Anolis sagrei: one gene and its partners. The protein of the gene in region 3 purifies or fractionates together with the protein of the main gene of each other region. This does not show direct contact. Links are inferred from orthologs where the notes say so. Each region holds a gene or a part of one and is shown on either strand. Other genes may lie near its edges. The genes, in order: GOLIM4, CLGN and PTPRU.

The links.
Region 1: the proteins of PTPRU (region 3) and GOLIM4 purify together in Homo sapiens (affinity purification with mass spectrometry; 3 studies listed by BioGRID and IntAct, counting the BioPlex papers as one, with this or other methods). This does not show direct contact. The link is inferred for Anolis sagrei from reciprocal best matches to the Homo sapiens genes PTPRU and GOLIM4.
Region 2: the proteins of PTPRU (region 3) and CLGN purify together in Homo sapiens (affinity purification with mass spectrometry; 3 studies listed by BioGRID and IntAct, with this or other methods). This does not show direct contact. The link is inferred for Anolis sagrei from reciprocal best matches to the Homo sapiens genes PTPRU and CLGN.

What each region holds. Positions count from the first base shown.
Region 1 is NC_090023.1:250,643,501-250,654,553, forward strand, and holds the start of GOLIM4 (Golgi integral membrane protein 4), read right to left. Parts: upstream 5,229-11,053; 5' UTR 4,517-5,228; coding exon 4,330-4,516; intron 1-4,329. UniProt on the Homo sapiens protein: Plays a role in endosome to Golgi protein trafficking; mediates protein transport along the late endosome-bypass pathway from the early endosome to the Golgi.
Region 2 is NC_090025.1:45,312,240-45,323,269, forward strand, and holds the start of CLGN (calmegin), read right to left. Parts: upstream 4,871-11,030; 5' UTR 4,647-4,870; intron 1-4,646. UniProt on the Homo sapiens protein: Functions during spermatogenesis as a chaperone for a range of client proteins that are important for sperm adhesion onto the egg zona pellucida and for subsequent penetration of the zona pellucida.
Region 3 is NC_090034.1:64,384,768-64,395,160, reverse strand, and holds the start of PTPRU (receptor-type tyrosine-protein phosphatase U), read left to right. Parts: upstream 1-5,368; 5' UTR 5,369-5,698; coding exon 5,699-5,801; intron 5,802-10,393.

The DNA of each region.
Region 1 (11,053 bases), on a different chromosome or scaffold from region 3:
GGAGAGAAGCCTCCCACAAAGATGGTAAAACATCAAAAACATCTAAGCATCCCCTGCACACAGCCAATTCTCTCACACCAGAAGTGACTTGCAGTTTCTCAAGTCACTCCTGACACAAATGCAAGCTTACTCTGAACAATTTTTTTTCAGGAAAAAAAAACTGTGATTGGAAACAAACTGAAGGTAAGGAATTGCAAGCCTGCAATGTCTAATCTGCCAAATACAACAAAGTATGCCAGTCACATATGATAGTGCACCGGGTGCTTCATCAATTCTCATTTCATTCTGCCCAAGATTGCAGGAATAGTAAAGTGCGAGACAAAAGGGCTGCCACCAAAGGACCTAAAGTAATTTGATGTCAAGTTTGTCACAAAAAAGGAACTTTTCCAAGGAATTGGGTTCTACAACATTTGGGTTAATTTATAAGTATCAATAGATTTACAGTTATATAACAGACACAAGTTGAAGTACTTTGGCCACATCATGAGGAGACAGCAAAGCCTAGAGAAGACAATTATGCTGGGGAAAGTGGAAGGCAAAAGGAAGAGGGGCCGACCAAGGGCAAGATGGATGGATGGCATCCTTGAAGTGACTGGACTGACCTTGAAGGAGCTGGGGGTGGTGACGGCCGACAGGGAGCTCTGGCGTGGACTGGTCCATGAGGTCACGAAGAGACGGAGACGACTGAACGAATGAACAACAACAGACAGACACAAGATATTGCATAGCACATATGTGTGACATATATATGGTATGACACAATTATCACAGTATATAATTATGTTGGGAACAACACTGTATAATAATATAGTAACCATTTTATATTTATGGGTTTAACTTCCACAAATGTAGTTATTCACAGATGATTTGCTGCCACACATTATTTTTAACAGACACTATAAGAGGGGTGAGAGGGAGGAGGGTTCATGCAAGAGTTGGCCAAGCCATCAAGGCAGTGGAGAGAGTGGCACTCGGAGTCTGCTCTTCCTCCTGCTACTGTTGCATGCCACATGTGTCTGTTCCCCCAGACCATGTCAATTATGCCACCAGTTGTGCCACACAAATTAGTAGCAGTGACTCCAGGAAACATGCCCAGCTCTTTCTGCAAAAACATCAAGATAAGGTAGAGTTGATGCCAGCGCTCCCTTTACAAAGACACCTCCACCTGGAGCTACTGCTTGCATGCAGGATGTACGAGATAAGCAAAGAGGCATTTTTGCTGTGGCATCCCAACTATGAAATACCCTTCCTACAAAAGGTGTGACTAGTCCTTTACGGGGTTGAGAAAGGCAATATATAAATAGGGTAAATAAATAAATATTTTAAAAATGTATCTCTGCTGCTTTTGTTTTTGAATTTTGTCTTATGGTTTATATTCTTGGTTTGTCTATTTGTGGATTTGCTGTTATTTTTAGAGATTAAAAATTATTAATAAAAAATAAATTTCTGATTGCCAAGTCATTTTAGTTAGTTGATTCTGTCTTATTGTGTCTGTTGCCATTTTTGTTTGTTTAAGCTTTTTAAAATATATTAGATCATTTTAAATTTCTTTCTACATCACCCTGGAATCCAGCAGGATGAAGAGTGGCTTAAATATGTTTCAATAAATGTAATAAAAGTGGACTTTACAAATCAAAATAATAGAAGTATGGTACAAAATATATTAATTAAATTATGAATAGCATTAAATGAATCAAAAATCCCCTCTTGAATATTATCAGATATCAGCATTATTCAACTACTAGAGCTGATTGAAATGAAATTCTTTGCAGAGTGCAACATTAAATATTCGAATCCTTCACTACAGGATGTGGCGATGGCTGGGATGACTTTAGTGCATTAAAGAAGTTGTTTAGTTCTGTAGAAGTTGTTAGGAATACAGTTTTCATCTTTATCAATCACTGGACACACTCACTGGTGCTAAAGAAAGTTGGACTCCAAAAGCACATGAAGGGCCAAAAAAGTTAGAGTGAGACTCTAGAACAGTGGTTCTCAACCTGTGGGTCCCCAGATGTTTTGGCCTTCAACTCCCAGAAATCCTAACAGCTGGTAAACTGGCTGGGATTTCTGGGAGTTGTAGGCCAAACACCTGGGGACCCAAAGGTTGAGAACCACTGCTCTAGAAAAGTTCCAAAAAGTAAAACCCTCCAGAAGGAGGCATACCTGCATTGGATGCCTGGCTTTGGGCTTTGAGTGAGTTAGGCATAATGCCACTGCTGGGCAAAGAACAACAATCCCTGTGACCTGTTCAGGCCTGAAAAGGGGCAAAGTCTGGGCATTTCCCCCTTGAACCAGTCAGCATGACTAAACCAATAACTCAGAAGCAGTGGTCTCAGGCTCTTTACTCACTTCTACAGCTACAAAATGGAAATGAAGTGGGTACTAACTGCTGCCAAACCCTGTAAAGGGGCAGAGAAAGACTTCCCTCTCCCAATTCCCCTAGACTTTATGACAACTCAGCACAAGAGTATGTACATGAGTCGAGCAACAGCAATCATGAAGTGCTATGGTGCACTTGCTCCAAATGCCCCTTTGATAAATCTGTCTTGGCCACTCATTCCACACCCGCTGCTTTACAGGAAACAAATTGAATTTTCAAAGATGCCTATCAAGCAGCGCAGAGCTCGTGGGAATGTGAAGAATGTTATGGGAAAAAATGCTGAATCTAGACAGACCCTGATTTAACAGCTCTCAACCATGTTCAGCACATCTAGGCCCCATCTACACTGTCCTATACTGCAGTCTCAGGATGCAGTTGAGCTGCATTATTTGGCAGTGTAGACTCATATAATCCAGCTCACTGCAGTTAAACTTAATTCTAAAACTGCATGATAGGGCAGTGTAGATGGGGCCCTCGTTCTCAACCATCTCTCAATGGTTTGGCAAGACCATTCTAAATTAAGGGTACAGTTACACTGACCACTTAGGTTGTTACCACTGAGGAGGTAACAATTTCACTGCACAGATGATTATAAATTCTGGAACCAGTTCAAGGCCTGGATTGTGTTTATATGCACCACCAAAGTTGGTCTCAAACTGGCTCCAGGATCTGCAGTATCTGTGACTTCACTGCCATGTTGGAACCCACAAAGCAATGGATTCAAACTGGAAGAAAAGAAATTCTGTTTAAACATTAAGAACTTCCTCATGGTAAGAGCCTGGGAGTGTGGTGGAGTTTCCTTCTCTGGAGGCTTTTGAGCAGAAGCTAGTTGCTCATCTTTTGAGGTGTTTTGTTTGTATGTTCTTGCATGGCAGGGGATTAGACTGGATGGCTCTTGGGATCTCTTCCAACTCTATGATCTAACATCACAATTCACATGTGTGGAACAACACACAGTTTCGCCATGCAATGTGGTTTACACTTAGGCATACTGATTCACATTATGGGCCCAATTTAAGAATATCACTGGACTTCGCTAATTTCTGTTTAAAGCCCTTATGCTGCATTCCTTCACACATTTCTCACATGCATCATCTAAACATTGTCAAGCTGTCTTCTAACTGCATTAAGTGATCAGTATAAATGTGGTCAGTTCTATCACCAATTGACTCATTTAGTCACAAACACAAATTCAGACCGGAAGTTATGGTAAATAGAAACAATGATGTGTGATAATGTATTTGCAACTCTACTTTTACTCCCCGAGTTGTTTAACTTTTTTCAAAGAGTGTGTAATTGTACATACATAAGCAGAGGTTGGAGCAACAGGTGTTGACACATGGGCTATAAAGGTGTTGACACATGGGCTATATAACAAGTGTTGACACATGGGCTATAAAAGTTGGATGAGGGTGTTAAGGTTGCATCTACACTGTGGAAATAATGTGTTTCAACACCACTTTAACTGTCATGGTTTAATGCTGTGGAATCATGTGAGTCATAGCTCTTTGGCAGAGTTGGCTAAACATCTTGGAAAACTGCAACTCGCATGATTCCACAGCACTGAGGCATGGCAGTTAAAGTGATGCCAAACTGTACCAGGCATGGGCAAACTTGGGCCCTCCAGGTATTTTGGACTTCAACTCTCACGAATTGTGGGAGTTGAAGTCCAAAACACCTGGAGGGCCCAAGTTTGCCCATGCCTGGTGTGGATGCACCCTCAAGATGAAAAGAACTTTGTAGACCAGTGGTTCCCAACTTTTGGACCTCCAGGTGTTTTGGACTTCAACTCCCAGAAATCCTAACCAGCTTACCAGCTGTCAGGAACTATGGGAGCTTAAGTCTGAAACACCCGGAGGCCCAAAGGTTGGGAACCACTGTGGTAGACCTTCCAGATGCCAGGACCTGGGTGGAGCTTTGGTCGATCAGAGAGAGGCAACTTCTTTTACCTTGGAGTTGTGCTGAAAGGGCCTCTTGGTGCTGCTGGTACTTGATGGAAACGGCCTCCGCCTTCTTGAGCTGGTTCTGCAGCTCGTAGTAGAGCATAGCCCCGTAGATGAAGCCGAAGACCACGGTGAGGAGCAAGAGGGACTGCAGGATGCGCTTCTGCTTTCGGGAACACATCCCGTTGCCCATAGTCCTTCCCTTGGGGGAATCCAGGAGCTTGTCCGCCTCTAGACTTCAGTGTTTAGGCAACCCTCCGCATGGGGCAAGGGCACCAGGAGTGAGGCCACCAGAAGAAACAAGCTTGGGCCATAGACCCTGGCCCTAACTATAACCCCTTTGGCCTCAAGCCTCGCCAGGCATCTCAGGCCATCCTGCAGACAGGGCAAAGTGGCCAGTGAAGAAGAGTCAGGCCAAAGGAGGCTGAAGCTGAGCTCTTCTCAATGCTTCTTGCCCTTTGGATGGGACTCTATCCACTTAGGATGCTTAGGAGAGAGAAGGCATCCCAGATTGGATCTCTCCTCTTTAGGAAAATACTTTTTTGTTTATGAGGAGGGGCTTCCTAAGGGCAAATCCCAAGGTTATGGCCCCCAAGGTCTCTTTTGTTCCTGGCCAGCTGGCCCACCTGACTTGCCCCCTTCTTGTCTCTCTCCTGTTGCAGGCGGGCTCCTAGCTGCCTGCCTCCCGGAGACCCCTTCTCCAACCGGGGCTTCCCCCCTCCCTCTGCCTCCCCCCTCAGGCTAAAAGTTCCTTTCTCTCTCTCTCAAGGGCAACTTTTCCCCTTGGGTGGGAGGGGGCGCCTCTTCCTCCTCCTGGGTCGCCCTGGCCGCCTTCCAGCCCCGCACTTACGTGTCACCTCCGCGGCTCAACTGCGGGATTCCCGCCTCCTCCCCCCTCCCTCCCCAAAGGAAGTCCCGCTCTGGACGCGGCCTCATTGGGCGAAGCCCCTCCTGGCTCCCCTCCTCCCCGAGGGGCAGCCACGGCGCCCATTGGATGCTGCCCTTGTCCGTCTCGGACGCTCCAGCCCCGCTCCCCCTCCCCTCCCATTCCAGTCTGGAACTCATAGGAAGGGGGCGGCGCGTGGGATTTCCACGAGGGGCGGGCAGACGCGCCTCCCCTCTCTCTCTCTCTGTCTATTGCTTCTTTGGTCTTTCCTCTGTAGGCTTGAACGCATGGGGAGTGCACGCGTCTGGCTGCAATACCCTCCCTGCCCTACCGAGAAGAGATCTTTGTTTATATATTATAAATATCTACTGTTGCAAGCTCCCCAAAGATTGCAACAGTAATATTAGAAATACATATATATATACTAGCTGTATCCACCACGCGTTTCTGTGGCCAGCATTCTCTCCCTCTTTCTCTCCTTCCTTTCTTACTCTCCTTCCTTTCCTTCTCTCTTTCCTTCTCTTCCCTTCCCCCCAGTTTTCTTTCTCTTCCTCTTTCTCCCAGTTCTCTACCCAATCTTGGACTGCAACTCCCAGCAGTCCTCCTGATCAATCTACCTACCTACCTATCTCTATTTGATCTATTCTGGAGGATTGGTGGGAGCTGCAGTCCAGGAATAGGGAATTGGAAATATGCAGGGATTGCAATGCTCTCAAATCCAAGGAGAAGATAGCTTGCAGCTTCGAAGAAGTGCATTGGATCACCCTCTAGAACATCAAGCAAAAAGTGGGTGCTAGAAACAATATCTTACAAAAGCTGACTGGCACAACCTGGGGATCACAACCAGATACAGTGAAGACATCTGCCCTTGCGCTGTGCTACTCCGCTGCTGAGTACGCATGCCCAGTGTGGAACACATCTCACCACACTAAAACAGTGGATGTGGCTCTGAATGAGACATGACGCATTATCACGGGGTGTCTGCGCCCTACACCACTGGAGAAATTACACTGTCTAGCCGGTATCGCACCACCTGACATCTGCCGGGAAGTGGCAGCCAATAGTGAAAGGACCAAGGCAGAGACATCTCCAGCTCATCCCCTGTTTGGGTATCAGCCAGCACGTCAATGACTTAAATCCAGACATAGTTTTCTAAGATCTACAGAGACACTCGCTGGAACACCTCAGCAAGCGAGAGTCCAAAAGTGGCAGGCTCAAACCCAGAACCTCAACTAATGGCTGATACCAAATGAGAGACTCCCTCCCACACAGAAGACTGGGCAACTTGGAAGGCGCTGAACAGACTGCGCTCTGGCACCAGAAGATGCAGAGCCAACCTTCAGAAACGGGGCTACAAAGTGGAATCCTCGACATGCGAGTGTGGAGAGGAGCAAACCACTGGCCACCTGCTGCAATGCAACCTGAGCCCAGCCACATGCACAATGGAGGACCTTCTTGCAGCAATACCAGAGACACTCCAAGTGGCCAGATACTGGTCAAAGGACATTTAATCAACTACCAAACTCACAAGTTTTGTATTTGTCTGTTTGTTTGCTTTGTTCTGTTAGAAATGTAATATAATTGACTGGCTGCCCTGACATGAGAAATAAATAAATAAACCCTCTAGATCACCCTCCTCTCCTATGGAGCCCCCAGTGGCACAGTGGGTTAAACCCCTGTGCCGGTAGGACTGCAGACCGACAGTTCGCAGGTTTGAATGTGGGGAGAGGTGGATGAGCTCCCTCTATCAGCTCCAGCTCCTTATCTGGGAACACGAGAGAAGCTTCCCATAAAAATGATGAAAACATCAAGTCATCCGGGCGTCCCCTGGGCAACGTCCTTGCAGACGGTCAATTCTCTCACACCAGAAGTGACTTGCAGTTTCTCACGTCGCTCCTGACACAACAAAAAGAAAACAAAAACCAAAAACCCTCCTCTCCTAAATGACCTGGTCTAGGGGATGCTGGGAACTGTAGTCTGGAAGAGAGTGTGGATATGCTACTGTGTGTTTCGTTTGCCGGGGGAGGTTTTTTTTTTTTTTTTGCACATGCGCTGTAGCGTCTTTTTGCTCTCTTTTTTTTTTTTGGCTTCTTAAGTCCCTTCTGTTGTGTTTTTCAGTGTTTCATTGGCCTGATAGGTGTCGTGAGTCCAAATTTAGTGTCAATTCGCCCAGTGGTTTTTAAGTTATGTTAATCCCACAAACAAACATTACATTTTTATTTATATAGGTAATAACTAGCCATCCCCTGCCATGCATTGCTGTGGCCGAGTCTGTGTATATGTGTTTTGTGTGTATATATATTTGTCTATATGTGTATATATATGTGTGTGTGTTTGTGTTTATATGTGTGGTTTTGCACATGCGTTGTAATGAGTTTTTTATTTTTTTTGGCTTTTAAAGTCTCTTCTGTGTTTTTCAGTGTTTTTATGAGTGGTGGTCACTCGTAGGCCTGATAGATGTATTGTGCTCAAATTTGATGTCATTTTATCCAGTGGTTTTTGAGTTATGTTAATCCCACAAACAAACATTACATTTTTAATTTTATAGAAGAGAAAGAGAGAGAGAGAAATTGGCTTCCCAAAGTACACAGAGGCCCCTTCCACACAGCTGAATGGAATCCCACATTTTCTGCAGTGTTTCTGGCAGTGTTTACTCGTAGAATAGAATCATAGAGTTGGATGAGACCTCGTGGGCCATCCAGTCCAACCCCCTTGCCAAGAAGCAAGAAAATTGCATTCAAAGTACCCCCCGACAGATGGCCATCCAGCCTCTGTTTAAAAGCCTGCAAAGAAGGAGCCTTCACCACACTCCGGAGCAGAGAGTTCCACTGCTAAACAGCTCTTACAGTCAGGAAGTTCTTTCTAATGTTCAGATGGAATCTCCTTTCTCGTAGTTTGAAGCCATTGTTCCGCATTCATGTTCAACTTGTTGTCCACAAGGACTCTTAAGATCTTTTTCACACGTACTGTTCTCGAGCCATGCGTCCCCCATTCTGTATCTTTGCATTGCATTTTTTTCTGCCTAAGTGGAGTATTTATTTTATTTATTTATCGTGTCAGGAGCAAGCCAAACAGTTGTATTGCATTTTAACAAACAAAACAAAACAAAGTTTGCAAGCTTGGTAGTTGATTAAATGTCCTTTAACCAGTAGCTGGGCACTTAGAGTGCCTCTGGTGTTACTATAAGAAGGTCCTCCAGTGTGCATGTAGCAGGGCTCAAGTTGCATCGCAGCAGGTGGTCTGTAGTTTGCTCTTCTCCACACTCATATGTCGTGGATTCCATTTTGTAGCTCCATTTCTTAAGGTTGACTCTGCATCTCGTGGTGCCAGAGCGCAGTCTGTTCAGCACTTTCCAAGTTGCCCAGTTTTCTGTGTGCCCAGGGGGGAGTCTCTCATTTGGTACCAGCCACTGGTTGAGGTTCTGGGTTTGAGCCTGCCACTTTTGGACTCTCGCTTTCTGAGGTGTTCCAGCGAGTGTCTCTGTAGATCTTAGAAAACTATTTCTTGATTTAAGTCATTGACGTGCTGGCTGGAATATTGCATTTGTCAGATAACCCAAGGCCCTTCCACACAGCCCTGTATCCCAGGGTATCAAGGCAGAAAATCCCACAATATCTGCTTTGAGCTGGGTTATCTGGGATTTTATTCAGCTGTGTGGAAAGGGCCTGAGATACTCCAGTTCAAAGCAGATGTGTTGGGATTCTCTGCCTTGATATTCTGGGATATAGGGCTATATGGAAGGGCCCTGAGTCCACATTGCTATATATGCCAGTTCAAAGCAAATATTGTGGGATTTTCTGCCTTTTCTGCCACAGCTTTATTGAGCCCGCATCATGAAAGTCCTCATTATTATCTATATTCCCATTGGGTTGTTGTAGGTTTTTTGGGTTGAATGGCTATATTCTAAAAGCATTCTCTCCTGCATCTGTGGCAAGTGTCCTTGGAGGTTTGTTGGAAACTGGAAAATTGGCTTTATATATCTGTGGAAGGTCCAGGGTGGGAGAAAAAAAACTCTTGTCTGTTGGAGCTAAGGTGTGACTGTTCCAATTGGCCACCTTGATTAGCATTTGATGGCCTGACAGTTTTGAGGTGTGGCTTGTTACTGCCAGGGAAATTTCCTTGTTGAGAGGTGACCAGGTGTTTCTGATTGTTTCCTGGCTGGAGTTTCTCTGTGTTTGAGTTTTGTTTCTTATTTACTCTTATAATTTTAGAGTTTTTTTTTGTTCTGGTAGCCAGATTTTGTTCATTTTCATGGTTTCTTCCTTTCTGTTGAAATTGTCCATATGATTGTGGATTTCAATGGCTTCTCTGTGTAGCTTGACATGGCAGTTGTCAGAGTGGTCCAGCATTTCTCTCTTCTCAAATAATATGCTGTGTCCAGGTTAGTTCATCGGATGCTCTGCTATGGCAGACTTCTCTGTTGAAGTAGTCTGCAGTGCCTTTCATGTTCCTTGATTTGTGTTTGGGCACTGTGTTTTGTGATCCCTGTGTAGACTTGTCCACAGCTGCATGGTATACAATAGACTTCTGCAGAGGAGAGAGGATCCTCTTGTCCTTTGCTAAATGTAGTATTTGTTGGATTTTCTTAGTGGGTTTGTAGATAGTTTGTATGTTGTGTTTCCTCATCAGCTTCCCTATGCAGTCAGTGGTTCCCTTGATGTATGGCAAGAACACTTTTCCTCTGGGTGGATCTTTGTCTTTACTCTTGTGGCTTGTTCTCAGTCTTGCAGCTCTTCTGATGTCTGAGGTGGAGTATCCATTGGCCTGGAGAGCCCAGTTGAGGTGGTTCATCTTGGAGGAGGTGGGTTTAGAAGATTCTTTTTGCACGGTCTGTCAGGCCTTTAATGGTGCTTCTTTTTTGACTTGGGTGATGATTGGAGTTTTAATGTAGGTATCTGTGTGTGTAGGTTTTCTGTGTGACCCAAATGTTGATCTGGTTTATGGATGACTAGGACATATAGAAATGGCAATTTTCCTTCATTTTCTAAATACCAACAACAAAGTGATCAGCTTTGGTGTGGTGTCTCTATTTACCATGGTCCCGGTAGCAGACACTATCAAAATAATCAACCAGAAGTTCCCGGACGACATCACAGCTCTGTTTCATCATTGCCTCACCACCAGCTACTTTCAGTGGGACAATGAATTATATGAACAGAAAGATGGAGTAGCTATGGGGATCCCTCTCAGCCCAGTCATAGCAAATTTCTACATGGAACACTTTTGAAAAACAAGCCCTGGAAACAGCCACAAAAAGGCACACTATATGTTTCAGATATGTGGAGCCACCATTTGGAGCCACGGAGAAGAAGAACTAAACAAGTTCCTGGACCACCTGAAGAGCATCCACCCAAATATCCAATTCGCCATGGAAAAAGAACATGAAGGGTTTTTTTTAATTATGCCATAAGAATATGGCATAATGTAACAATGTCTTAAGAGAATGAACAAGATCCTCGCCAAGTCTTACATATTATTTCCCCACACCCAAACAAGGGTGCCAATGTTTATATGAAATCTTTGGTACGTTGTTTCTAAAGAATCAGCCTTATTAATATGTTGCAGTGTAAAAAGGAAAAAAGGAATCTTAACAGCACTCTTAAAATTAACTTATTTTCATTTCAACCTGAGCTTTTGTGGATACCAAGTCACAATTATTCTGTAATACAGAATAATTAGGTTATTAAGCATACAGTTATTGAAGCAGGATAAAATGTAATTCAGAAGGATACAAATCATGTCCCTTGCCTTGAATCTTTTTAGGCTGTGTGAGGTGTTCCAGGTCTTGCAGATCTTTCACAACGTGAGAAAATAAGGATAAATTTATCATTCAACTATTATGTC
Region 2 (11,030 bases), on a different chromosome or scaffold from region 3:
AAATCACACAAGCTTTCAAAGCATCGCTAACTTCTTTGTCAGGCAAATGTATTAAAATCATACAGGAGAAGAAGAAAATAATGGACTCATTTCTCAGAACCATGACACCTTAGTGCACAGGTTAATTCATATGAAAATCACTCTTTCTTGAGTTTATTATCAAAGGCTTTCATGGCCGAAATCACTGGGTGGTTGTAGGTTTTTCAGACTATATGGCCATGCTCTAGAAGCACTCTCTCCTGATGTTTCGCCTGCATCTATACTAGGCATCCTCAGAGGTTGTGAAGTCCTCTGGTCAGTCAAAAGGCTGAACTTAAACTTCAGGGTGAAAGTGATTTAATTCTTTGTGTAAGAATCTCATGAGCCTTTAATGGCAACAGAATAGGAAAGTGAATGGATCTGTCACAAAGTCATCTGGGATGCTGTCTAATTGAACATATCAGATTCTGTGTATAGCTATAGATGTCGAAGCGAAAGAATGAAAAATGGTCATAGAAGCTTTCTACTTTCCCTGAACTGAAATCAATGGAAATCGCTTTGGGAAATGCAGTTTGCATTGATTTCAGTTTGAAACTACAATTCACATTACAATACTTAAGGTTTTCAAAATTCGCCAATGCTTTTGATAACAATCTCAGGTTTTGTGAAGGTATATCCAGTCTTTTACCACAAAGTAACATCACAATTAGTAATCTGATCCATGCAGATCTTTATAAACTAGGAGGATCCAAAACAAATATTTTAATTGGCGACACGTTTAGAGTTTCAGTCCATATCCTGGCCATCCTATGGCCACTGAGCAAGTTCTATTCTTCAATTTCCCCACTTCCTCACACGTGTTTATTTTTGAGGATCTTGGGGTTACCTTAAGCCTGTTAATATCTACCTGTTGTAATGGCTGGTGACTTTTGGCTGCATAAAAGCAGGTACTCAGGTAAATGAATATACATTTAACTTTTATCCCACTCTTCTGCAAAAAGGTTCTATGTGATTCTTGCCGATTTCCCCCCAATTTTATCTTCACAGCAAACCTGGGATGTAGGTTCAGAAGTTGGCCAAGATGCTTTGTGGCCAAGTAATAGACAAACCCTAGTCTAATACAACAAGCCCTGTTTGTACCCTATGACGACAGGAACTCCCGGTGGCGCAATGGGTTAAACCCTTGTGCCAGCAGGACTGAAGACCAACAGGTCTGAGGTTTGAATCCAAGGAGAGCGTGGATGAGTTATTTTCATAGATTCTCTGGGATTTTATGTCAGTATTTGTTGGTTTTATGAAGGCATTGAATGTTTGCCGTTGTTATGGTGGAATCCGCCCTGAGTCTCCTTGGGGAGATAGGATGGAATACAAACAAAGTTTTTAATGTCATTATTATTATTTGAAACACAACAAGATTAGTACACAGCAAACAAGGTCACTATGCTGGCTGTTGTATTGGATCACATGTCGGACACGCCCAAGTGTCTAGGACTGTGTGATGTATCGGCGAATAATGCATGCAGATCCCAGTAGGGTGGCTTTTTGCAGCTGACAGATGGTAATTTTGTCAGTGCTGATTGTGTATAACTGCAGACTAAAGTCTTTAGGCACTGCACCCAGTGTGCCAATCACCACTGGGACCACCTTTACCGGCTTGTGCCAGTCTTTGCAGTTATTGTTGTTGTTGTTGTTATTATTATTATTATTATTATTATTATTATTGAGGAATCCTTTGTTAGGAGGCACTAACTGGCCCCGATTCATTCTTGTCTTACTCAAAAAGCAGGGGAATACCAGAGGAGAATCAATCTCCCACCCTGGACATTCCACAGATACATAAACCTCACTTGCCTAGTTTCCAACAGACCTAACAACCTCTGAGGGTGCCTGCCATAGTTGTGGGCAAAGCAGCAGAAGAGAATGCTTCTAGAACATGGCCAGAAAACTCACAGCAACCCATTACAAATATGATTTGAAAATATTTATTGAACAATTTCAAAAAGCAAACCTTGATTTTTCTGTTGAAATTGTCTACATGCTTGTAGATTTCAGTGGTTTCTCTCTATAGTCTGAGGACGCCTGAATACGAGGGACGCCATTGCATATAAACATGAAATTTTGGTATACTCAAGAGCCCCGTAATTAAACCCCAGTGAATATCAAGGGCACATTATATCCTATTCAATTCTCTTACCAGACTGTATGTAGTAAGACTAGAAATTGGATTAAAGGGTGCATCTATAAGAGCCATGAGCCAACTTGGGCCCTCCAGGTGTTTTGGACTCCAACTCTCAGAATTCCTAATAGCCTCAGGCCCCTTCCTTTTCACCCTCTGCCGCTTAAGTGGAAAAATATTGGACACTCAATTAATTTAGAGGATTGGGAGAAAACATGGAACAAGAAAATGAAATATACTTATGCATCTAATTTAAAAGAAAACTGGCTAAAAATCACACCTCAGAAACTGGCAAAATGCTACCCAGAAATCAACGATAAATGCTGGAAGTGCGAAGAACAAACTGCCTCTTTTTATCATATGTGGTGGACATGTAAAACTTCCAAAACACATTGGAAAAATATCCACGAAAAAATAGAAAAGATACTGGATATAAAAATGGAATTAAAACCGGAATATTTTCTTCTGGGAATAATTGACTTCGAAATAGAGCTAAATAAAGATTAAATTTTTCAACTACCTGGTGACGGCGACCAGAATAAATTATGCAAGAGTATGGAGAATGAAAGAGATTCCATCTCAAGAGCAATGGTTAATAAATATTTTTAGATATTATGAGTATGGATAAATTAACCCAATGGATGAGCATAAAGCAGAATTTGAAAATTTCCAAAACAGACTGGATACCAATAAAGAACTATATAATGCAAGAAAACCTGAAATGGTAAATAGATCATATAAGATAATTTCAAGCATCAAATGCTCTCAGGATGAACCATAAGAAGGAGCTTGCCAAACTACCGTGATTGACTATCAAAAAAAGGAAAGAAAAGGAAGATACACCCGACGTGAAGAGGATTGGAAGTCAGACTGTATATTAACCCTAACCCCCCTAATCCCTTCCCTATCCTTCCATCCTTCCCACCCCCCCCCCCAAAAAACAGTCCCCTATCTAAATTTATTTATTTTTATTTCATATACTTCTACCCCGCCCTTCTCAACCCCCGAGGGGGGACTCAGGGCGGCTTACAAAATGGCACAATTTGATGCCCTCACAATAATACAATAAACGTATAAAAACAGCAGTTAAACGGTTAAACAATTAAAACAACAATATATATCACAGTCAATAGCCAATCTCATGCATGGCGTTCGCCAACTCAGAGTCCATACTTCGTTCCACATTGTCTATTCCTATCCGTCGTCGCAGTCCTTTATTTATCTGCCAGATTGCCCAAACGCCTGGTCCCACATCCATGTTTTTAATTTCTTTCTAAGAGCCGCTGCAAACTAGCCTCCTGTGGGAGCAAACTGTGCCAGCACGTCCCTGACGTCATGAGACTGTGCCTCTCTCTCCGCCCCTTTCTCCGCCTCTTTCTCCGTGCCAGAGTGGTTTTTCCTTTGCTAGGGCAGCATTGCCAGCATACTCTCGTTGTTGAATTCTGCCAACGAGAGTACGCTGGCAATGCTGCCCTAGCAAAGGAAAAACCACTCTGGCACGGAGAAAGAGGCGGAGAAAGGGGCGGGGCGAGAGGCGGAGTCTCATGACGTCAGGGACGTGCTGGCACGGTTTGCTCCCGCAGGAGGCTAGTTTGCGACGGGTCTAAAGGAAAGGAGGGATGTCGCTGATCTAATTTCCCCGGGAAGTGAATTCCATAGGTGAGGGGCCACCACTGAGAAGGCCCTGCTCCTCGTCCCCACCAATCTCACTTGTGACAGAGGCGGGGCCGAGAGCAGGGCCTCCCCAGAGGATCTCAAACTCCGAGGTGGGAGGTAGAGGGAGATGCGTTCGGACAGATACGCTGGGCCAGAACCGTATAGGGTTTTGTAGGTCAAAACCAGCACTTTGAATTGTGCTCGGAACTGGATCGGCAGCCAGTGGAGCTGACACAACAGGGGGGTGGTATGCTCCCTGTATGACGCTCCGGTGAGCAATCTGGCTGCCTCCCGCTGGACTAATTGAAGTTAATTGAAGTTAAATCTCTTCTTACCTTTTTCTATTCTCCTACTTTTCTATACCAAACAATTGTTCCCCCTGTTATTATTATATCTGAAAAACTTCAATAATATATATATATAGGAATTGTGAGAGTTGGAGTCCAAAACACCTGGAGGGCCCAAGTTGGCCCATGCCTGTTATAGATGCACCCTTCGGTTACAAACTAAGCAAGTACAAACCTAGGCCTGCCTTAAGCTTGAGGCACAGTCAATGCCCAAATCCTATTTTACGCTTTTGAGGAGGGGAAAAAGGTTTGTCGCCCGTGAGACGGAGACAAAACAACTATGAGCCGTCCTTGGGGAGACCTCGCATGCATCCGAAGGGCAAGGCGCGAGGCATTCAAATGAATGAGGGGGGAGAGGCCCGCCAACGGAACCATGGCGACCGCTTCCAGGCCCTCCTCCTCTCCTTCCTTCTCCCTCACGACCGCTCCCTTTTCGTTCCCCTTCCTCGCCCCGAGCAGGAGGCGCCCTGGGCCTCGCCTCGTCTCACCTCTCTCTCCCTCCTCACTGACAGGCCGCGACCGTTACCGCCCGTCAATCACGCTCCCCCCTCCGCACGCAGTCCTCTCGGCAGCGCATCCCCCGGCGCGCATGCGTCGCTGGTCCAAGCGCAGGTGCTTCGGCACGCGCCGCGCCGTCGCAACCAATCGCGATAGGGCGCTGAGAGGCTGAGCGAACCAATCGCAGGGAAGAGATTTTTTTTTCTTCTTCTTCTTAATTCCCTTCGGCTCACTTAACCCAACCCCGGATCGGTCCGCCGCTCGGTGACAAGGCGGCACGTGCCGGCTCGTCCAATCGGATCCGCCGTGGGGCGTGGCTTCATGAGCATCTCGCCTAATAAGAGCTCTGACTCAAGAGAGCGCGCCCAGTGGAGAGTCGACCAGGCACGAGGAGACTTCGGGCGTCTAATTGTTTTGGACTTGAAACTCCCACAATTCTTAATTGATTCAAATCCTTGATGATATTTATTTATACCCCCCACTTTTTCTCTCCACAAGGAGACTCAAAGCAGCTATTTGTTTTTGTGTCTACATTGAAGGAAGAAGTCCCACTTTCTTCTGCTTCCCTCAGGCCTCACCCAGGAATCCTGTGTTCAATTCTGGGCCCCACAATATCATGGCAATTTTTTTTTCGTGTTAGGAGTGAAAAATACATAAACAAATAACCATCCCACCAAAAACACACAGGAGTGACGAGAAACTGCAAATTCCTTCTGGTGTGAGAGAATTGACTGTCTGCAAGGATGTTGCCCAGAGGACGCCCGGATGTTTTGATGCATTCCAGAGCCAGGGGGCCACCACCAAAAAGGCCCTCTCCTCCATTCCCACCAGCTGCACTTGTGAGGGTGGTGGGACTGTGAAGAGAGCCTCCCCGGAGGACCTTAAGGTCTGATAGGTTAATAGGGGAAAACATAAATTCAATACTGGATTACATGACAGTGTAGATCTAGCCTAAGAGTCACCAAGCTTCACTGTGCAGTAGTGAACCTGAGTGTTTCTAGTTTGTTTGTGTGTGTGTGTGTGTGTCAGGAGCAAGGATGATGCCCAGGGGACACCCAGATGTTTTGATGTATTACCATCCTTGTGGGAGGCTTCTCTCATGTCCCTGCATGGGGAGCTGCAGCTGACAGAAAGAGCTCATCCGCGTTCTCCCTGGATTTGAACCTGTCGGTCCATTTCACAGCACAATTCAAAGTGCTGGTCCTGGCCTCTAAAGCTATATACGTCTCCGGCCCAGCTTACTTGTCCGAATGTATCTCTCCCTACATTCCACCTCGTAGTTTAAGATCCACTGGGGAGGCCCTGCTCTCGGTCCCATCAGCCTCACAAACACATCTGGTGGGGACGAGGGACAGGGCCTTCTCGGTGGTGACCCCCCACCTGTGGAATTCACTCCCCAGTGAGATTAGATCAGCGTCCTCCCTCCTTTCCTTTAGGAAAAAACTGAAATCGTGGTTTGGGAACCAGGCTTTTGACTAGCAGGCACAATGGCACTTTGGACATTGAACTGGACCATATGATTGTTATGCTAATGGAAACAGCTATATGACTGTATCATTCATGTTATTGTTTTTAATTTGTTATGTATTTATGGTTTTATATTGTTATTGTGATATTGCGGCATCAAATTGTTGTCACTGTGAGCCAATTTGACAATTTGAACTGAAAGGAGGAAACTATGAAAAGGAATAATATCTGTATATAAAAAACTCAGTAAAGAAAGAACAGCACTCAAAAGTGGGGAGTTCCAGACAAGAAACAATCAGGGACAGCTAATCACCTCTCAACAAAGGATTGTGCCGGGCAGGAAGTGGCCAAGCCTTGAAACTGCAAGACTATACCATGCTAATCAAGGTGACCTATGGCAGCATTTACACTTGCATTCACACACTCCACAGATATATAAACCTTACTTGTCTAGTTTCCAACAGACCTTACAACCTCTGAGGATGCCTACCATAGATGTGGGTGAAATGCCAGGAGATAATGCTTCTGGAACATAGCCATGCAGCCCGGAAAACTCAGAGCAAACCAATATTAACAATGTTTAATACTTTAAAATATTTGTATATTGTATATTTTAAGTTGTATTGTAATCTTTCAATTGTGAGCCACTTTGAGTCTTCGTATGGAGAGAGAAGGTGGGATATAAATAAGCATCGTAATAATACTGTTTGAATATTCATAGTTAAAAATATATAAAAATATCAACTGTTTGCAATGCTGTTTGCTTTAATTCTTGTTATTGGCCATCAAGTTGACTTTGACTTATGGCAACTTTGTGAATGAAAGACCTCCAATATCTCTGGTTGTCTATTGCCTTGCTTGATGTAGTTGTATCTTGCAGGTTTCATCCCAAATAGGGAATATGTGTGTGTGTGTGTGCGGGCGTGCCACACGAACCCAACAGAATGGAATTTTCCCTAATGCACCATGATGCTCCAAGAAACACTCTTTTTTTTTCAAAATAGTTTATCTTTCCATTCAAAGGGCTAACAGTCCCAACCCCATCCATATGGCACTCCAGTGTAACCATGGAGCAAGTTGCTATGGAACATCACCTGCTTGTTGCTGTGTACAGAGAAAAGTTCCCTATGCAGTTTCTTGGTGGCAGGAGCCTTGCTCTCCACATCAATATCCCTTAAGAGTTACTTCAGTCTAAGTTTTCAGGGCATCTTCCCACCCTCCTCAATGCCTTAAATTAATGACAGTTTAAGTTGCTGTACTAAATTATACATTAGGTGACAGATCTTATTAACCCCATTGTTCATTCTTTTTGAGCTCCTTCCTCAGAAACACATTCTTTCACTACCTATCTCATCCAGGATTTTTATCAATTTTATCCTAGTACATTTGGCCCGCCCACTGTGTTCAGTTTCTCTATCATGTAATTTTGAAACTGTTTATTTTGTTTTTTAATGTATTTATTTTGATGGTATTTTTGCTTCTTTGTATTTTATTTTGCTGTACTGTAATTTTGGGCTTGGCCTCATGTTAGCTGCCCCGAGTCCCCTTTGGGGAGATGGTGGCAGGGTACAAATAAATAAATATTATTATTATTATTATTATTATTATTATTATCTGTTGGCAATATTTTAGTTTTGGGTTCCCTCATTATAATTTTTTAAAGTCAGCTTTCAGACATCCTGTTGTGAATTTCATCCTGACCAAAAGTAAGAGGAAAGGATGATAGAATGTTAAATCCTACAGTGAAATGTGTGTTACTTTTCACATCTCTCTGCAACACAACTTGGAATGTAACTGAGAAAGTAGCATGCACATATTAGGCTAACAGTGGGCAACTTCTAACAGATGTGGGGATGGGGGGGGGGTGTTTTGTTCATACAGCACTAGGCAACCCATAACCAGAATAAAACAAAGATATAAGCCTGATCATTCAACAGTTAACTTACAGATCAGATGAGAGTGCTGCTCACTCATTCTGGGGAGGAGGCAAAAGAGTCCCTTGAATAAGCTTGGGTGGGAGTGCAGCTGAAAGCTCTAGAGGGGTTTTGTCAACTCAGTTCAAACCATGTTCAGTAGGGCATGGCTGCAAGAGCTATCAGGCTTCCCATCCCATCCCAAACTTGGCACACAGAACTTCCATGACCAACAGAAAATACTGTGTTTTCTGATGGTCTTTGGTGACCCCTCTGACAACCCTTTGCAACCCCTCCTTAGGAATCCTGACTCCCAGGTTGAGAAACGCTGCCCTAAACCGAGCTGAATATTTTTTTGGCTGTTTAATACTGCAATCCAGTGTATGTTTACTAAGAATAAGCTGCGTTTGACATATTGGAACTTGATTCTGTTGTAAATATGCTTAGGTTTTCATTGTTATGCTGCAGTCCTTTTGTATGTATGTATTATAAGCCCGAATGAACATAATTGCACTTGGTTATGAATAACAATTGTTCTCCAAATATCACTTCTCTCACTAGGAAGTCATGATCTTAGCCCCAACCAGAGTAAGGCCCATTGAATCAATGAGGGCGTGATAATAGTTCTAAAATAGATAGGACTATTTGATTTATAGTTTTGTAATGCAGTGACCAGAATGGTAGATTTTAAAAAATGAAACCTGGGCCCAGATCCACATTATCACCATGCCCATTACCACGTGGAGATACACGAGCACTTCAGGTAGCAACAGTGGCAGTCCCTGGTCATATGTTGCTACATATTTTCTGTCATCTTTTCAAAGGGCCCTCTACACAGCCATATAACCCAGAATATCAAGGCAGACAATCCACAATATCTGCTTTGGACTGGAATATCTGAGTCCACACTGCCATGTAATCCAGTTCAAAGCAGATAATGTGGGATTTTATTCAGTTGTGTGGAAGGGGGCTGTAGTCAGTTTCCCAATTTGAGGAGATACTTTCTCAGCTGTCAGTCCAGATGGCTTTGGTATTTGTCATGATAGCGGGAGCATTAACTTGTTTTTTGCATCAGAGAATGACCTACTCTTTTTCCACTGGAGAAGAACGAAGCCACCTGTATTTTCCCTTTACTTGGCTAAACATTGGTTTAAGAATAACATTTCAATTTGCTAGAACAATACCAGGTGAAATGATTAAATACTCCTCAGCTCAGCACTGCTGTTCCAATTCATTTTGAAGCATACTCCTCCACAAAAAGGAAATTAGGGGTCCATGTAACATCCCATATAGATTACTGCAACACACTCTACATGGGGCTGCCTTTGAAGACTATTCAGAAGCTTTAACTGGTCCAACAGGCAGCAGCCAGGTTGCTCACCGGAGCGATGGACATTGAGCACACAACTCCCCTGCTGCACCAGCTCCACTGGTTAACAGTCTGCTTCCGAGCACAATTCAAAGTGCTCACTTTAGCCTTCAAAGGCCTATACGGTTCTAGCCCAGCTTACCTGTCCAAATATATCCTCCCCTATGAACCACCTGAGAAATTAAGATAATCTGGGGAGACCCTGCTCTTGGTCCTGCTTTCTTCGCAAGCACACTGATGGGGATGAGAGACAGGACCTTCTCAGTGGTGGCCCCTCAGCTGTGGAACTCTCTCCCTAGTGACATCACATCAGCCCCCTCCCCCCTCACCTTCAGAAGGCAAGTAAAAACCTGGCTCTGGGACCAGGCTTTCGGATAATAGTGTAGTGCATAGGCATGGGCAATCCATGGTTCTAAAGTACTTACAAAACTAAAGTTCTGGTGGTGAACACTAGGGGGCGCTACTGCTTTGCTTCTACAGTGTTGCTAAAGTTCTGGTGGTGAAAATTTCAGAATTCTAAAAAAACCTTCAAAAATTTGTTATAAATGGCAGTTCTGTCATAAAATTGGCAATAATGAAATAATAATGAAATGTTGAAAATTTTGTTAGAGTTCTGAAATTTCACCATCAGAACTTTAGCAACACTGTAGAAGCAAAGCATCAGTGCTCCCTAGTTTTCACCACCAGAACTTTAGTTTTGCAAGTACTTTAGAACCATTTAGAACCATGGTTTGCCCATAGGATTATGTACAATTATTATCTGCCTCCCCAGACTATATTAATCTCTGAGATGATTCATAGGGGAGGATATGTTCAGACAGGTATGCTGGACCGGAACCATATTGACTTTGGACCACGATCTTTGGATGGCATGGTTTCAATGCTAAATGCAATCTTTAAAATGCTTAACTTGTATTAATTTTAACTCAACTGATTTTAAGTTTTTAATGTCTGCATGTGTTGCAAGGCATTTAATAATTATCGTATGTAAGCCACCTTGAGTCTCCTTTAGGGTAGGGAAAGGTGGGGTTTAAATGGAGTGAATAGGTAAATAAATAAATAACGAAGCTTTCAAATGATAAAACAGGCAGGTATTATTTTAGGATTGTAATGTCAAGAATACCCCAGGCAGCATGTTTAAAGCTTTTTCCATATTTAACTTGTAAGAATACTGGATGTGCTTCTTAAAATAATGATAAAATAATAATGCTCAAGTAATATGTTGCAATTATAAGGAGACTGAAAAGCCTGCAATTCTGATAAATAGTTTTTATTTTAAAAATGTTTTAAGTGTACTACTAATCAATCTCCAATTATGAAATTTACAGGACATTTTCCCAGTCTTCAATTGAATGTATTGCTTAGTTAGTGTGCATAGGATAGTTGCCTTATTATATTTGTTCAAACTATCAATATGCATTTTATTTACAAAACAGTCATTGACATTTAAATCGCTATGAGAAATATTTCAAATTCCGCATTTAAGATGTAATCAGATTCTTTTTAACATTAATAATACTCTATACAAAAAGGACAATTTTCCCCACCCCAATACACAGTATTAGAAAGGAGATTCATTTTATTGCTGAGCATTTTGTTGCTACCACTAGATGGCCTTCCTCCAA
Region 3 (10,393 bases):
CTTCAGCCATTGGGACCAAGAGAGAGAAAGAGAGAGAGAGCCCCTCCGGCTGGAGGTATTTCCCACCTCCGCTCCCTCCTTTGTTTTTGTGCCTACCTTCAGGAAAGGTGTGCATCTCCACCTCTGTCTCTCTCTCTCTTGGTCCCAATGGCTGAGGAGAAAGTCAGGAGAAGAGGTGACTGTTGGTGCACACAGTCTTCAGGCACGCCTCCGGACCCAAAGCGGGCCAGGCAAGGGAGCAAGTGCGGCAAGTGTAGTTACTGGGATGTATAGTTCACCTACAATCAAAGAGCATTCTGAATTCCACCAATGATGGAATTGAACCAAATATGGCACACAGAACTCCCACGATGAACAGAAAATATATATCAACTAGCCGTCCCCTGCCATGCGTTGCTGTGGCCCAGTCTGGTGATCTGGAAAATAAAGTAATGAGAAAGTGTTGGTTTCTAATATATGTAATGTCTTTATGCTTGTGGGTAAACAGTATTTCTTGTTCTTTCTTGTCAGTGTTGATGTGGTGATTGTCTGGTTTGCCTACTCTGGAACATGCAACATCATCCTTCTTTAGGGGTCCCTTTCAAATCTTTGATTGTCATATACATATGTGTGTGTGTGTGTGAATGGCTGGATGGCCCTTTGTCAAGAGGGTTTTGATTATGTTTTCTTGCCCTGGGGAAGGGAGTTGGACTGGATGTCCTTAAGGCAGCATTTCTCAACCTGGGAAGTCAAAACCTGGGGGGGGGGGGTTCACCAGGGGGGTGTCAGAATGGTTACCAAAGACCACCAGAAAACACAGTTTTATGTTGGTCATTGGGGTTCTGCGTGGGATGTTTGGCCCCAATTCCATCATTGGTGGGGTTCGGAATGCTCTTTGATTGTAACTACAACCCCCAAATGTCAAGCTATAGTTTCCCCAAACCCCATCTGTGTTTATATTTGGGCATATGGAGTATTCGTGGCAAGTTTGGTCCAGATCCATCATTGTTTGAGTCCACAGTGCTCTCTGGATGTAGGTGAACTACAACTCGCAAACTCAAGGTCAATGTCCACCAAACCCTTCCAGTATTTTCTGTTGGTCATGTGAGTTCTGTGTGCCAAGTTTGGTTCAATTCCATCGTTGATGGAGTTCAGAGTGCTCTTTGATTGTAGGTGAACTATAAATCCCAGCAACTGCAACTCCCGAATGACAAAATCATAATTTGTTGAGTGATGGTCACTCCTTGTGTTGTGAGACGTTTTGTTGCCAAATTTAGTGTGATTCTGTTTATTGGTTCTTTTGTTTTTAAGGTACTCATTATGCACAGACCATTTATATATATAGATAGATAGATGATTGGTTGGGGGGGGGCGCCAAAATACTTTTTGCTTGTTGTTGTTCATTCGTTCAGTCGTCTCCGACTCTTCGTGACCTCATGGACCAGCCCACGCCATAGCTCCCTGTCGGCCGTCACCACCCCCAGCTCCTTCAAGGTCAGTCCAGTCACTTCAAGGATGCCATCCATCCATCTTGCCCTTGGTCAGCCCCTCTTCCTTTTACCTTCCACTTTCCCCAGCATAATTGTCTTCTCTAGGCTTTGCTGTCTCCTCATGATGTGGCCAAAGTACTTCAACTTTGTCTCTAGTATCCTTCCCTCCAGTGAGCAGCCGGGCTTTATTTCCTGGAGGATGGACTGGTTGGATCTTCTCGCAGTCCAAGGCACTCTCAGAACTTTCCTCCAACACCACAGCTCAAAAGCATCGATCTTCCTTCGCTCGGCCTTCCCTAAGGTCCAGCTCTCACATCCGTAGGTTACTACAGGGAAGACCATGGCTTTGACTAGGCGGATCTTTGTTGCCAGTCTGATGTCTCTACTCTTTACTATTTTATCGAGATTGGACATTGCTCTCCTCCCAAGAAGGAAGTGTCTTCTGATTTCCTGGCCACAGTCTGCATCTGCAGTAATCTTTGCACCTAGAAATACAAAGTCTGTCACGGCCTCCACATTTTCTCCCTCTATTTTCCAGTTGTCAATCATTCTTGTTGCCATAATTTTGGTTTTTTGATGTTTAGCTGCAACCCAGCTTTTGCGCTTTCTTCTTTCACCTTGATTAGAAGGCTCCTCGGTTCCTCCTCGCTTTCGGCCATCAGAGTGGTGTCATCTGCATATCTGAGGTTGTTAATGTTTCTTCCAGCAATTTTCACCCCAGCTTTGCATTCATCAAGCCCCACACATCGCATGATGTGTTCTGCATACAAGTTAATAAGGTTGGGTGAGATTATTCAGCCTTGCCGTACGCCTTTCCCAATCTTGAACCAGTCTGTTGTTCCGTGGTCAGTTCTGACTGTTGCTCCTTGGTCCTTGTACAGATTCCTCAGGAGAGAGACAAGGTGGCTTGGTATGCCCATCCCACCAAAAACTTGCCACAATTTATTATGATCCACACAGTCAAAGGCTTTAGAATAGTCAATGAAGCAGAAGTAGATGTTTTTTTGAAACTCCCTGCCTTTCTCCATTATCCAGCAGAAACAACTACCATCCGGTCAGCCTCATGTCGATACTGGGCAAGATTCTGGAAAAGATTGTTAAGAAAGCGGTCTGCAAACACTTAGAAACAAATGCAGTCATCGCTAATAGTCAACATGGATTTATCAAAAACAAGTCATGCCAGACTAATCTGATCTCTTTCTTCGATAGAGCTACAAGCTGGGTAGATGCGGGGAATGCTGTGGATGTAGCGTACCTGGATTTCAGTAAGGCCTTCGACAAGGTCCCCCATGACCTTCTGGCAAGGAAACTAGTCCAATGTGGGCTAGGCAAAACTACGGTGAGGTGGATCTGTAATTGGTTAAGTGGACGAACACAGAGAGTGCTCACTAATGCTTCCTCTTCATCCTGGAAAGAAGTGACGAGCGGAGTGCCGCAGAGTTCTGTCCTGGGCCCGGTCCTGTTCAACATCTTTATTAATGACTTAGATGAAGGGCTAGAAGGCATGATCATCAAGTTTGCAGATGACACCAAATTGGGAGGGATAGCCAATAGTCCAGAGGACAGGAGCAGAATTCAAAACGATCTGGACAGATTAGAGAGATGGGCCAAAACTAACAAAATGAAGTTCAACAGTGACAAATGCAAGATACTCCACTTTGGCAGAAAAAATGAAATGCAAAGATACAGAATGGGGGAGGCCTGGCTTGAGAGCAGTACGTGTGAAAAAGTTCTTGGAGTCCTCGTGGACAACAAGTTAAACATGAGCCAACAATGTGATGTGGCGGCAAAAAAAGCCAATGGGATTTTGGCCTGCATCAATAGGAGCATAGTGTCTAGATCTAAGGAAGTAATGCTACCCCTCTGTTCTGCTTTGGTTAGACCACACCTGGAATATTGTGTCCAATTCTGGGCACCACAGTTCAAGAGAGATATTGACAAGCTGGAATGTGTCCAGAGGAGGGCGACTAAAATGATCAAGGGTCTGGAGAACAAGCCCTATGAGGAGCGGCTCAGGGAACTGGGCATGTTTAGCCTGAAGAAGAGAAGGCTGAGAGGAGATATGATAGCCATGTATAAATATGTGAGAGGAAGCCACAGGGAGGAGGGAGCAAGCTTGTTTTCTGCTTCCTTGGAGACTAGGACGCGGAACAATGGCTTCAAACTACAAGAAAGGAGATTCCATCTGAACATTAGGAAGAACTTCCTGACTGTGAGAGCCGTTCAGCAGTGGAACTCTCTGCCCCAGAGTGTGGTGGAGGCTCCTTCTTTGGAAGCTTTTAAGCAGAGGCTGGATGGCCATTTGTCAGGGGTGATTTGAATGCAATGTTCCTGCTTCTTGGCAGGGGGTTGGACTGGATGACCCAAGATCAGCCCCCTCGCTGATGGTATTCCGAAGAAGATTAAAAACCTGGATGTTCGAGCAAGCATTTGGTTAATTCGGTGCAATGAATGGGATGATTAAGGATTGGTAATATGGATGACGAAACTGGACCACGATTTTAGTTAAGAGATGCATTGAATAGTGATTTATGTGTCAACATTGTGTATTATGTTTTTTATGGTTTTAAATTGTATATTGTGGATTGTGTATTTTGTTGTAAACTGCGTTGAGTCGCCAGCTAGGCTGTACAGTAAATAAATAAATAATAAATAAAATAAAATAAATAAATAAGAGGTCTCTTCCACCTCTTTGATTCTATGATTCTATGATTGGCAATCTGGTCTCTCGTTCCTCTTCCTTTTCTAAACCAGGGCACTCATTATGCACAGACCATTTATATATATATATATAGATGATTGGTTGGGGGGGGGGGGGCGCCAAAATGCTTTTTGCTTTTTGTTGTTCATTCGTTCAGTCATCTCTGACTCTTCGTGACCTCATGGACCAGCCCACTCCAGAGCTCCCTGTCAGCCGTCACCACCCCCAGCTCCTTCAAGGTCAGTTCAGTCACTTCAAGGATGCCATCCATCCATCTTGCCCTTGGTCGGCCCCTCTTCCTTTTGCCTTCCACTTTCCCCAGCATAATTGTCTTCTCTAGGCTTTGCTGTCTCCTCATGATGTGGCCAAAGTACTTCAACTTTGTCTCTAGTATCCTTCCCTCCAGTGAGCAGCCGGGCTTTATTTCCTGGAGGATGGACTGGTTGGATCTTCTCGCAGTCCAAGGCACTCTCAGATCTTTCCTCCAGCACCACAGCTCAAAAGCATCGATCTTCCTTCGCTCAGCCTTCCCTAAGGTCCAGCTCTCACATCCGTAGGTGAGTACAGGGAATACCATGGCTTTGACTAGGCGGATCTTTGTTGCCAGTCTGATGTCTCTACTCTTCACTATTTTATCGAGACTGGACATTGCTCTCCTCCCAAGAAGGAAGCGTCTTCTGATTTCCTGGCCACAGTCTGCATCTGCAGTCATCTTTGCACCTAGAAATACAAAGTCTGTCACAGCCTCCACGGTTTCTCCCTCTATTTTCCAGTTGTCAATCATTCTTGTTGCTATAATCTTGGTTTTTTTGACGTTTAGCTGCAACCCAGCTTTTGCGCTTTCTTCTTTCACCTTGATTAGAAGGCTCCTCAGCTCCTCCTCGCTTTCGGCCATCAGAGTGGTGTCATCTGCATATCTGAGGTTGTTAATGTTTCTTCCAGCAATTTTCACCCCAGCTTTGCATTCATCCAGCCCCGCACATCGCATGATGTGTTCTGCATACAAGTTGAAAAGGTTGGGTGAGAGGATGCAGCCTTGCCGTACGCCTTTCCCAATCTTGAACCGTTGACAATTACCTAGGGCCGCCTCTGATTGTGAGTCCTGGGGCTGTCCTGCTCCTCGCTGGGCCAGCAGGGGGCGCCCGCTCCTTTCCCAGCCCCCTCCCCAAATCCAAATCCAACCCCACGGGCCCCCGCCCCGCCCCCTTCGCTTCGCCTGGGAAGCCTGACGTCACTTCGCCGCGGGGGGTTGGCTGTTTTTTTGGGTTGGTTTGGTGCGTGCCTGCGGAGGAAAGGCTCGGCTCCGGCTTCTCCGCCCGGAAGGAAAGGCACAACTCGGAGTCCGCAATCTCGGAGACCCCGCGCCACACAGGAGATCAAGGCGGATCATTATCAGAGTCCACACTGCCATCCAATCCCTTTCAGTTTGGCCTTGGGGCAACTTTGTGGGAAAGGCCTGCAAGCGGAGAAGATTGCGGAAGGAGAAGTCGGGAAGGAGGAGGAGGAGAACTTTTCTTGGCGGCTCGGCATGCAGGGCAACGCCGCCCGCGCCGTGCTCCTCGCGCTCGCCCTCCAGCTCTGCTCCGCCGAGACCGAGGCGCCCGCGGGAGGAGGAGGAGGAGGAGGAGCAGGTCAGTCCCTTCCCCCCCCTCCCCCTCCCTCTGCCCCTGCCCTTTCGGCGCCCTTTGGGGAAGGGGCCCACCTTCCCTCCCCTTCCCTACCTTCCCCATTCCTCCCGGTCTCTCGGGGCCCCCTCAGTACCTGTTTGGCCACCCACAAGATCTGCTTGGAGCTGGGTTATCTGAGTCCACACTGCCACATTTTATTTATTTATGTATTTACTTTATTTGTATACCGCACTCTCTCAGCCCGTAGGCGACTCAGTGCGGTTTACAACCAGGGCAATATACAAAGGTGCACAACATTAGCATTAGCATTTCAAAACAGTAACTAGAGCAGTGTTTCTCAACCCTTGAGGGGGTCGTGAGGGGGTGTCAAAGGGGTCGCCAAAGAACATCAGAAAACATAGTATTTTCTGTTGGTCATTGGGATTCTGTGGGAAGTTTGACTCAATTCTATTGTTGGTCGAGTTCAGAATGCTCTTTGATTGTAGGTGAACTATAAATCCCAACAACTACAACTCCCATATGTCATAGAATCATAGAATCAAAGAGTTGGAAGAGACCTCATGGGCCATCCAGTCCAACCCCCTGCCAAGAAGCAGGAGTATTGCATTCAAATCACCCCTGACAGATGGCCATCCAGCCTCTGCTTAAAAGCTTCCAAAGAAGGAGCCTCCACCACACTCCGGGGCAGAGAGTTCCACTGCTGAACGGCTCTCACAGTCAGGAAGTTCTTCCTCATGTTCAGATGGAATCTCCTCTCTTGTAGTTTGAAGCCATAGTTCCGCGTCCTAGTCTCCAAGGAAGCAGAAAACAAGCTTGCTCCCTCCTCCCTGTGGCTTCCTCTCACATATTTATACATGGCTATCATATCTCCTCTCAGCCTTCTCTTCTTCAGGCTAAACATGCCCAGTTCACTAAGCCGCTCCTCATAGGGCTTGTTGTCAAGGTCTATTTTTCCCAAACTCCACCAGTGTTCACATTTGGGCATACTGAGTATTCGTGCCAAGTTTGGTCCAGATCCATCATTGCATGAACCCACAGCACTCCTCTGGGCATAGGTGAACTACAACTCCCAAACTCAAGGTCAATGCTCACAAAACCCTTCCAGTGTTTCCTGTTGGTCATGGGAGTTCTGTGTGCCAAGTTCGGTTTAAATCCATTGCTGGTGGCGTTCAGAATGCTCTTTGATTATAGGTGAACTATAAATCCCAGCAACTACAACTCCCAAATGACAAAATCAATCCTCCCCTCAACCCCACTAGCACTCACATTTGGGCATATTGCGTATTTGTGCTCACTTTAGTCCAGTGAATGAAAATGCATCCTGCATATCGGATATTTACATTACAATTTATAACAGTAGAAAAATGACAGGTATCAAGTAGCAACAAAAACAATATTATGGTTGGGGGTCACCACAACATATGGAACGGCATAAAGGGGTCACGGCATCAGCAAGGTTGAGAACCACTGAACTAGAGCAACTAAATCACATAACAATACATCAGTACATCAATATAACAACAATACATCCATATAACTAATCCATCACGTCTCATCAATAAAGTCATAATCCAATCTCCTCGTCCATTATTCCAAGTTCCAATCTCAATCAATTGATTGCACTGCTTAATTAAACGCCTGTTCAAAGAGCCAGGTCTTCACTCTTCTCCTGAACGCCAGCAGGGAGGGGGCCGATCTAATGTCTGCGGGAAGGGCGTTCCACAGCCGAGGGGCCACCATTGAGAAGGCCCTGTCTCTTGTCTCCATCAGTCATGCCTGCGAGGCTGGCGGGATCGAGAGCAGGGCCTCCCCGGACGATCTTAATGTCCTAACTGGTTCATAGGGGGTGATGCGTTCGGACAGATAGGTCGGGCCAGAACCGTTTAGGGCTTTAAAGGCTAAAGCCAGCACTTTGAAATGTGCCCGGTAGCAAATTGGCAGCCAGTGGAGCTGGCGCAACAGAGGAGTGGTGTGCTCCCTGAATGCCGCTCCCGTTAGCAACCTGGCTGCTGCGTGCTGGACCATCTGAAGCTTCCGAGCAGTCTTCAAAGGCAACCCCACGTAGAGAGCGTTGCAGTAGTCTATACGGGATGTAACCAGTGCGTGGACTACCGTGGCCAAGTCAGACTTCCCAAGGTACGGGCGCAGCTGGCGCACAAGTTTTAATTGTGCAAATGCTCCCCTGGTCACCGCTGAAACCTGGGGCTCCAGGCTCAGCGATGAATCCAGGATCACACCCAAGCTGCGAACCTGCGTCTTCAGGGGGAGTGTAACCCCGTCCAACACCGGCTGTAACCCTATAACCTGTTCGGCCTTACGACTGACCAGGAGTACCTCTGTCTTGTCTGGATTCAGTTTCATCTAGTTCAGTGCTTCTCAACCTTCCTAATGCCACGACCCCTTCATTCTCATGTTGTGGTGACCCCCAACCATAAAATTTGTTCCCTTGCTGCTTCATAACTGTCGTTTTGCTGCTGTTATGAATAGTAATGTAAATATCTGATATGCAGGATGTATTTTCATACACTGGACCAAATTCGGCACAAATACCCAATACACCCACATTTGAATACTGGTGGGATTGGGGGAGGGTACTGATTTTGTCCTGTGGGGGTTGTAGTTGTTGGGATTTATAGTTCACCTACAATCAAAGAGCATTCTGAACTCCACCAACGATGGAATTGAATCAAACTTGGCACACAGAACTCCCATGACCAACAGAAAATACTAGAAGGGTTTAGTGAGCATTGACCTTAAGTTTGGGAGTTGTAGTTCACCTACATTCTGAGAGCACTGGGGTCTCAAACAATGATGTATCTGGATCAAACTTGGCACAAATACTCAATATGCCCAAATTCTGAACCTCGCCAATGATAGAATTGTGCCAAGCTTCCCACACAGAACCCCCATGACCAACAGAAAAGGCTGTCTCAGTTCTTGTGGGTTTTTTCGGGCTATATGGCCATGTTCTAGAGGCATTTCTCCTGACGTTTCGCCTGCATCTATGGCAAGCAGGCGAAACGTCAGGAGAAATGCCTCTAGAACATGGCCATATAGCCCGAAAAAACCCACAAGAACTGAGTGATTCCAGCCATGAAAGCCTTCGACAATACACAGAAAAGGCTGTGTTTTCTGATGATCTTTGCGACGCCTCTGACACCCCCTCGCGACCCCCCTCGGGGTCCCGATCCCCAGATTGAGAATCACTGATCTAGACCAAACTTGGCACGAATACTCAATATGCCCAAATATAAACATTGGTGGAGTTTGGGGGAAATAGACCTTGACATTTGGGAGTTGTAGTTGCTGGGATTTATAGTTCACCAACAATCAAAGAGTATTCTGAACCCTACCAACGATTGAATTGGGCCAAACTTCCAACACAGAATCCCCATAACCAACAGAAAATACTGTGTTTTCTGGTGGTCTTTGGTGACCCCTCTGACACCTCCTCGCGACCCCTCCAGGGGTCCCAACCCCCAGGTTGAGAAACACTGATCTAGTTCAGTGTGGGTTAGATCAAGCGGGGTATAAGTCTGACTTGGCCACGGTGGTCCACACTCTTGTTACATCCCAATTAGACTACTGCAATGCGCTCTACGTGGGGCTGCCTTTGAAGACTGCCTGGAAGCTTCAATTAGTCCAACGGCTGCTCACCGGAGCGGCATACAGAGAGCATACAACTCCTCTGTTACGCCAGCTCCACTGGTTATTTATTTATTTCTATACTAGCTGTCCACTGCCACGCATTGCTGTGGCCCAGTCTGTTGATCTGAAAAATAAAGCAATGAGAAAGTGTTGGTTTCTAATATATGTAATTTCTTTATGCTTGTGGGTAAACAGTATTTCTTGCTTTGTCAGTGTTGATGTGGAGAGTGTCTGGTTTGCCCACCCTGGAACATGCAACATACCATTGTCCTTCTTTAAGGGTCCCTTTCAAATCTAGGATAGTATGTCTCTGTGTGTGTGAATCATATCTATCTATCTATCTATCTATCTATCTCTATATCTATGGCTGGATGGCTCTTTGTCAGGAGGACTTTGATTACGTTTTCTTGCCCTGATGGAGTTGGATTGGATGGCCTTAAGTATCTTCTTTTGGTCATGGGGGTTCTGTGTGGGAAGTTTGCTCCGATTTTGTCGTTTGTGGGGTTCAGAATGGTCTTTGATTTAGGTGAACTGTGAGTCCCAGTGACTACAACTCCCAAATGTCAAGGTCTATTTCCCCCAAACTCCATCTGTGTTCATATTTGGGCATATTGAGTGCTTGTGCCAAGTTTGGTCCAGATCCATCATTGTTTGAGTCCACAGTGCTCTCTAGATGTAGGTGAACTACAACTCCCAAAGTCAAGGTCAATACCCACCAAACCCCTCCAGTATTTTCTGTTGGTCATGGGAGTTTTGTGTGCCAAGTTTGATTCAATTCCATCGTTGATGTAGTTTAGAATGCTCTTTCATTGTAGGTGGACTATAAATCCCAGCAGCTACAACTCCCAAATGACAAAATCATAATTTTTTGAGTGATGGTCACTCCTTGTGTTGTGAGACGTTTTTGTAGCCAAATTTGGTGTGATTTTGTTCATTGGTTCTTTTGT